2 linked regions of the Xenopus tropicalis genome follow. The protein of the gene in region 2 interacts with the protein of the main gene of each other region in a biochemical or structural test. Links are inferred from orthologs where the notes say so. Each region holds a gene or a part of one and is shown on either strand. Other genes may lie near its edges.

Region 1 (4,397 bases), on a different chromosome or scaffold from region 2:
CAGCAGAGGGCACAGGCAGTAGTACCAGCCCCAACAAACATCCCATTTGCCACACTCACCCTCTCAGGGCTGCCCCACCCAACCTCCCAGGGCAGGCAGAGTATGGGGGGCACAGGCAGAGAGCAGAGTAGGGCAGAGGGCACAGTCAGGGAGCAGAGGGCAGGCAGAGTAGGGGGGTGCAGGCAGAGTAGGGCACCTAGTAGTAGAGCCTAGAGTCACCTAGCAGTCACAGGCAGACACAGGGGCACAGGCAGGGAGCAGAGGGCAGGCAGACTAGGGGGGACAGGCAGGGAGTAGAGGGCAGGCAAAGTAGGAGTACACAGGGAGAAGTGGGCAGGCAGAGTAGGGCACCTAGTAGTAGAGCCTAGAGTCACAGGTAGACACAGGGGCACAGGCAGGGAGCAGAGGGCAGGCAGACTAGGGGGGACAGGCAGGGAGTAGAGGGCAGGCAAAGTAGGGGTACACAGGGAGAAGTGGGCAGGCAGAGAAGGCCACCTAGTAGTAGAGCCTAGAGTCACCCTAGTAGTAACACCAGCCCCACCAAAAATCACATTTGCCGCACTCACCCTCTCAGGGCTGCCCTACCCAATACCCCACCAAACTTCCCAGGGCAGGCAGTGTAGGGGCACACAGGGAGAAGAGGGCAGGCAGAGTAGGGCACACAGGCAGAGAGCAGACAACAGAGTAGGGCAGGGAGCAAAAGGGGCAGAGTAGGGGGCGCAGGCTGAGTAGGGGAACACACAGGGAACAGAGTGCAGGCAGAGAAGGGCACCTAGTACAGCCTAGAAGTCACCCCTGCCCTACCAAACCTCCCAGGGCCACTCCACCAAAAGTCACATTTGCCACTCACCCTCTCAGGGCTGCCCCACCCAATACCCCACTAACCCCCCCAGGGCAGGCAGTGTAGGGAGCAAAAGGCATGCAGAGAAGGGCACCTAGTAGTACAGCCTAGAGCCACATCTGCCCGACCAAACCTCCCAGGGCCACCCCACCAAAAGTCGCATTTGCAACACTCACCCTCTCAAGATGCCCCACTAACAAGACACGAGAGACTTCCCAGAGCTCTGTATCTCTCACTCACAGGGTACCCCACCGTCGTCTCGACAACGCACCAAAGACTTCTGCATCTGTGACTCAGGATCTCCGCACTTCAAAAAGTCGCGCCTTTAGGTGGAACTTATATACACCATGTACACCACGTGACGATGACGCAGTGTATCACGTGACAAGGACGTCACTTGGATACGCCCATACACCACGTGATAACGTGAAGATGACGGCTGCGGAACGTGCCAATGATGTCACTGGGGTACAAATAACCACTAGGAACTAGCGGCTACTGTGGCACCAAGCAGAGAAGGAGGTGGTGGTTGCAAACTCAACGGGAAGCTGCTACCTGAGACGTTGGGGGGGCGAGCTGCACTTACGGGCATGAAGGACCGGCTGACAGAGTTGTCAGCGGTGAGTGAAATCGATTATTTCCAAGCTAACTGAGTAACGGTCCTTAGGACTGAGGGATGTTCCAATTGACTGTAGGCTGGAAATGGATGCGTCCAACTGCATCTTCCTGCAGCTGTTCAGTTGTTTTTATGAGATCATTCATACAAATTCAGGCTAACATATTAAAGGGGCTTAGCCGCTGTATTTTTTCTGTTAAAAGGAACGTGATTCTAAGTAACTTTCCAAAGTTCATCAATAAAAACAATTGTAATGGTTTTAGAGAAATTAAGGTGTCTGTTTATATTCTTGGCACTAGTTGCTTTGGCTCCTGAAACAATGTAGGAGACGCTAGTTGGAGGAAAACTGACACATTTGGTTAAGAGTCAGAACCAGAGAAGAACTAGAGAGAAACACTGTTTTCAATAGTATTTACATGTACAAACTTATAAATAATGTATATTGGAATGTTGCTTAGGATAACTTTATTCATTCTACTCTTGCAACTTAATTTGGTGCAAGTTCATTAGCTGTTGCGGGAAGAAGCATTATTTGATATTAAAAATATATATATATGATACCTCTTTGTAAGAAAGACATACTTTGTAAAGTAACTTTAGACTTTGCTATTATGGTATGTAGCTTTGTTTTATCTCGGTGCCCTTCTGAACTGTGTGACTGCAAGGTTCTGATAGCGACCTGGAGTGCTTTAATTGCTGCAACAAGTAGATTGGGGTGCTCCAGTGTAAATGGATGAGAAAGTGAGACTACAGAGTACCCTGCATGGCTTTTGTTAACAGTATGGAGTCCCACCAAAACTGATATGATACTTGGGTCCAGCTTTCATACCTCCTTGGGCAAGTCGGCAAACCTAAATGTTTTAGGGGAAAGTCACACATTGCATAGGATCTGCTTCTCTCCACTGGTGTTTGTAGAATAATAATTTGTGTGCAGCTTTAAAACTAATATCTAGTTGCCAGGGTCAGTAAGAGACCGATAGGCTGGGAACAGGTAGAATAGGCAGGGTTCGCCTGTGTTTGTAGCTATGCTTCAGCCTGATGGGTGGATGATATCTGACACACAAGCCTGGGAACGCAACAGACAGTGTCTCCTTAATGAGTATTGCTGAAGAAACACTGTCTGCTAAGTGCTTGGGGCCTTTAGTAATTTCAATGATAATGTCAAATGAGACTCACCCTCTGTGATACTTCGTCTGTATTATCAACCACCATTAGCTACCAATGACTTTCTACCTAATAAAGTTTTTTTTCAGCAGAGCTATATATATATCTCAAAAGTCCACACTGTGTCACTGTCACTCATGTTACACAGGCCATAAATAATTGGAAATGTGATTAAACATATACATAAATAATATTAACTATTCTGAGTCCACTTTAATAAGTACTAGGATTGTTGATCTGCCTTTTTTTGGGGGGGGTTGGCAAGATAGAAAGGCAAATCATTCGTAAACACAAAAAAAAGGAAGGGAGGCAAAGCTGCATAATGTACAAGATAGTAACTATTTTGTAGACTTTTATCAATTATTACAGAATCTCTGTTCCTTGGACTTTAGCTAAAGTGTGCAGTAGAATGCTGAGTGGAATCTATTTAGGAAGATTGATTGTGCTGGGGTAGTTCTGGTCCTGGTCGAATAAGTCTGTCTCACAATGGTGCAAGTGACTGAACAAATGTTTGTTGAATGGTAAGAAAACTGAGTCTGTGTACTGTGACCTAAATCTGCTGCAACAAATTGGATGTTTTCTTTTTATATATATAATATACACATGTAGAGAACAAGCATCTTGACTTTATCTTGTTAGTGGCAAATGTTGCATTTTATTCTGGCAGCCATGGTGCATCAGATGGCAAAATTCCCATGCAGCAGATTAAGGCTAATGCCACATGGTGTTGGTTCTCAGTCCGTGGATCAGCCTTTTTCCTGTGCCTGCATTCAAATCCATTGCGTTGGCCCAGGTGGTGGAAGGCTGAGCAGATTTTGACCCTGATACGCGGCAGAATGCATTTCAGCGCCAAATCTGCTCTGTGTTCTCCGATGCAATGGCTCTGGGTTCAGGCACAGGGAAAGGCTGATATCATGGTCTGATTCACAACCTGGAGATAAACACCCCATGTGGTGTTTCAGTAATGATTTTCAATAAAGGGGTCATGTTTAATGTTAATAAACATTTAGTTTTAACTTATGCTATATATCTTTTTTTGATGAAAAAATGCATCAGCCCACTGAAAGAAAAAAAAATAAATGAAGGCATCGCTATGCCACAATCTTATTTGCCTTTCCCTGGTGCCCCTCTTCAGGTTTATTATACTCACACATGCGCATTTCAGTAAAATTTAACTCTACAACTAGTGAAAAAGGAGTTGCGCTTTTTTCCCTGATGAGTGGATTTTCTTCCCAAAATGAGCACTGGCCTGGGGAAAAATCTTGGCTAATTGGAAATTCCTTGTCCAAAATTAATTAAAAGGGGCAGTGTTAGCATTTTATATCCCATATGTATATCTCACTGTGTCAAAAAAGTCAACATGCTCTCGGATCTGAGTATTTTATTTGGAATTTGTTCAAATTGCCCGTTTTTGCACATTTTTTTCAGTTTATGCAAGATGGGATCTAGCTGCATTAATATAAATTTAGCTTAATGCACTGCACTAAAGAACAATGCCTGGCAGTGTGTGAAAAACATCATTTTGTTTTTTTTTCCATAGAAATCACTGACACGGGTTACCATATTTCTAGAATTTTTTTTGTTTACGCAAAAGGTTCTTTGTGAGACAGATATTTATGTGCAACTATTTTGTGTTTCAGCTTTGTTTCCTTGAGTTCCTTGCCTGTGGGGGTTGGGATGGTGTGCAATAAATCGATCACGTTTCAGTGCTACACACATCCTGTAGGATTCCTCTCTGGGAGGTACTGGCCTCTGTACTGTGAGCTGAGAAGGAAA
Region 2 (3,821 bases):
TGAACAAGGCGGTGAGCTAAATGCATTAACACATGAAACACTTTTATTTGCATGTTTCTCCACATGATAAAACTTCTCTGATGAAATACACATCCTTCTAGACCCCTCCACAGTGGTATTGTAATTTATTAGTTGCAGTGTTTAATGGGTTGCAATACTAAAGCAAGTAGAGAAAAAAGATATAAAATGCCCATTAGGATTATTTGCCTGGTTACCTATGAAACCAAGAAAACAGGAAAGAGATTGCATAGTTTTAAAATGGAATTAATAGTCTCCTTCGCGAGGCAACTTCGGCGATTTGCACGAAATTGCACCGCCGCGTGTGCCATCCCACCGGCGACTAACATTTTCGCCGGTGGGATGGCAGGGGAAGGCAACTCGGGGAGATTAGTCGCCCGCAAACAGGGAGTTTTGTCGCGGGCGACTAATCTCCCCGTGTGCCAGAGCCCTAAAAGGTTAGATTTCATATAAGCAGAAAAGGGAAGCTAACTCCCTCACAATATATTAATACCAAGGCACATTGTCAAATTAGAGATCACTGATATACTTATCTGTAAGAACAGGCGATTGAGATAGCTCTGTTGGTAACTGGTGACTGACATGTGGGAGGAAAGTTTTACTTTTAAACTTGAAATTAAAACCCACACTTCTTGCGCTGCAAGAGAGAAGAATTTGGTTGGGGCATGACTAGAGGGTTTCAGTCTTTGTTAAAATGCTTTAAGTCCCCTGTCAGCATTTCTCTGTGAGTGCACCACGGCTGCTCATTAATAAATGCTTCAAAATCAAATTTACACCCACTTGTTGGGGTGTAACTCTAATATACATTGACTGGAAATGCACTCCAACTGGTTAGAAATGCATCTCTTAATAGTTAAAGTGAATTGTGCTTCAGAATGCCTCATAACACATTTCTGGAGTCCACTGAACCAGCGGTTAAGCAGTATGGGCCCTCATCTTGTTTTGGTTGCAGTTGACATGGATAGTAGTCTGCCACTGCAAATGGGGTAATAAAATTATCTGATTCATTAAAGACCAGCATCTTGGGGTTTTTTGTTTTTTTTTTAAAAAAAAAAAGATATGCATGTGTGTATTGTTCTTCTTCAGAAAATGTAATAATGTTCTCTTTGTGTGCTGACTTTTTTCCTTTAGAACAACTAAATCGCATTGAGGAAGGAATGGATCAGATCAACAAGGACATGCGTGAGGCGGAAAAGAACCTAACAGAACTGAATAAATGCTGTGGCTTGTGTGTTTGTCCTGGCAAAAGGTTAGAGAACCATGCTTCATTAAGGAAAGAGCATATTTTACAGACTTCATAGGATTGCCGATTCTTAATTAATTAGGAACCTTTTGTAGACCTTGACTTTTGGTCTTCAGTGCATAGAGCTGTGTAATGGATTTCTAGAAAACTTTAGAAAGAGGTGGAAAATTCTAGTTGCAGGCTTTAGTTGAGGCTTACTTTTGAGATTGTAGAATAGTCAGGGGTACTGTATTGCTGGACGAGATGTTGGAAATTACACAGGCAGGTTACAGGTCCTAAACAGCCAAATCTCCTATAAACTATAGCAGACGAATGCGATAGCCAAAAGGGCACCATTGCCCCTTTGTAGCTATTGAAGCAGTAGTATGAAGCCTATATTAATATTGACATTGTCATACACCTATTTACACAGTTATGTAAACTATTATTAGTTCTGTCTATCTTCCTGGTTGATATTTACAGTGTCATACCATTGCTGTTCCATTACTTGGTACCCCTCCCTATGTGATAACGAGGGGAAGGGGTGGAAGGGATCAGCACACACAGCATGGGGAGCAGGCACTACACAGCTGCTAGATTACTAAAGTACGCTTTGGTAATTAGGGCACATGGAAAAACATTTTTAAAAGGATTTCACCTTTTGATGATCCTATTCTAAGAAACTTTTCACATGTTTTCTATTTCATTTTTTATGGTTTTCGGCCCGTATTAGCTTTTTTTTCTATTTTGCCATTTTCAGGACTGCTGCTAAAATTGCATCTGATTGTCATTTACTGGATCTGTTCAAGACATATACTATATATTGTGACCAGGTCTGTCCTGGGACAGGACAGGTCTGTCCCAGGCCTAATTGTGCCTTCCATAAGGCCTAGTTAGCCCATGGCTGTTAAAACTCCAAGTTCATTTTGGTCACAAGTGAAAGCAGAAATAGTTCTAAAACCACAAAAACCACAGTTGCATATTGCCTTAGAATAACAACGTCAACAACATACTATGTTCATTTAATATGAACTGACCCTTCTTTGAAGTTGTATCTAGAGATTCTCCTCTAGAGACTGGAATTGCTCACAAAAATAAGCATGAAGCTCATGATCCTTGGGCTCCCCTGCCTCTGAAGTATTAATTTGGAGGATGCTGGTGCAGTGTCAGACTGGCCTGGCAGGGTACTGTGACTTTTCCTGGTGGGCCCTTTGCCTTTTATGGAGCACATTAACTCTTTTTTAGTTTTTACATGTTCTTCTTATGTTTTGTTTATTCCCAGCAGTGAGACTGCTAGGAAAGACTTAGTTAAGGAGTCTGTGGTGGTGTAAGGGGGAAAAAAATAGAATAGTGGAGGGCACTCTGGGCTAAGGTACACTTGCCCTTTAAAAACAATCCACAAAAAAAAAAAAATATATGTATATACAAAAATCCAGGTGTTAGGGTTTCAAAAATCCCCCCCTAAGAGGATTATTTGAGGGTTTTGGTGGTGTAAGGGAAAAGACAGAGGCCAAATTTATTGCCAATTTTCCAGGAGGAAAATCCAGTGAGGCTGTTAAAGGGGATATATACCATACATTTTTGCAATGCACTAAACCATGTAAAATAGAAGGAAGTGCTTTTATTTTAATACCTTTGGGTTCAGATATGTCCATAACTGCTTGAAAACTGTGCTCTACCCAGACCTTATGCCAGCTTCCGGTTTAGACTCTTCAGTATATGGCTCAGGGCCACTGGCCCTCATAGACTTCAATGACACAACCTCACCTACTTAAAGTGAAGTGAATATTCATAGAGTGGGCAGGGCTTAGCAATGTCACAGCAGTCTGTTCCTACAAGCAGAGAGACACAGAAGGAGGGAGGGGTTTTCCCTGCTGCTGCTTAGTTAAGCCTGTCAGTCAGTGCTGTGACCACTTCCTGTGGGAGACTGAAGTGAGTTTTAGGAGGTAAAATGCTTTCAAAACATCTTTCTTTCTGCATCATTTCACATTTTGAGGGAGGATGAATATTATAACTGAATATGAACTTCATATAAAATGTCTCCTTTAATTATATAAAGCTGGCATGGCAGTTTCTCAGAATTTGAATTTGGTAGAGCAAGAGCTAATAGACTCCTCATACAACCATATAGTCTTAGCTGTGAACTGCACAGAGATAGAGATGTTCCGCCGGGGCTCTGTGCTGCCCTCTGCAGTCTGTCTCTATCCCATTATTGCTTTGTGGCCTGACACGGCTTGTACAGCAATACTGCAACAAACAGGAGAGCACAGCTGCCCCACATAGAATTAGTTCTGAATGTGTCTTTTTGAAAGTAGCCACTCTAGTTGCTGTGATATGCCCATAATTAAAATGTATCCTATAGACTTTAGGGCACTGGCATCTAGTGGCCAAAAACAGTGCCTTCTGGTCAAAACTATATCCGTTACATTTGAACAATGAACTTCTCAAACATGGGGATACCAGGGTTTTTTCTCAGTAAGAAGTAAAGGTTTTAGGGCTCTGGCTGTTAGGCCCTTGATTTCTGTTTCTCTGGTGGGCCTTTGGTGTCCCAGTCTGACACTGGATGCTGGGAGGTTTATAT

What was found.
Region 1: the proteins of snap23 (region 2) and stx2 form a complex in vitro, tested with the Homo sapiens proteins (2 studies listed by BioGRID). The link is inferred for Xenopus tropicalis from reciprocal best matches to the Homo sapiens genes SNAP23 and STX2.

Annotation. Positions count from the first base shown.
Region 1 is NC_030677.2:157,777,165-157,781,561, forward strand, and holds the start of stx2 (syntaxin-2), read left to right. Parts: upstream 1-1,306; 5' UTR 1,307-1,431; coding exon 1,432-1,461; intron 1,462-4,397.
Region 2 is NC_030684.2:105,570,351-105,574,171, reverse strand, and holds part of snap23 (synaptosomal-associated protein 23), read left to right. Parts: coding exon 1-11; intron 12-1,149; coding exon 1,150-1,267; intron 1,268-3,821. UniProt on the Homo sapiens protein: Essential component of the high affinity receptor for the general membrane fusion machinery and an important regulator of transport vesicle docking and fusion.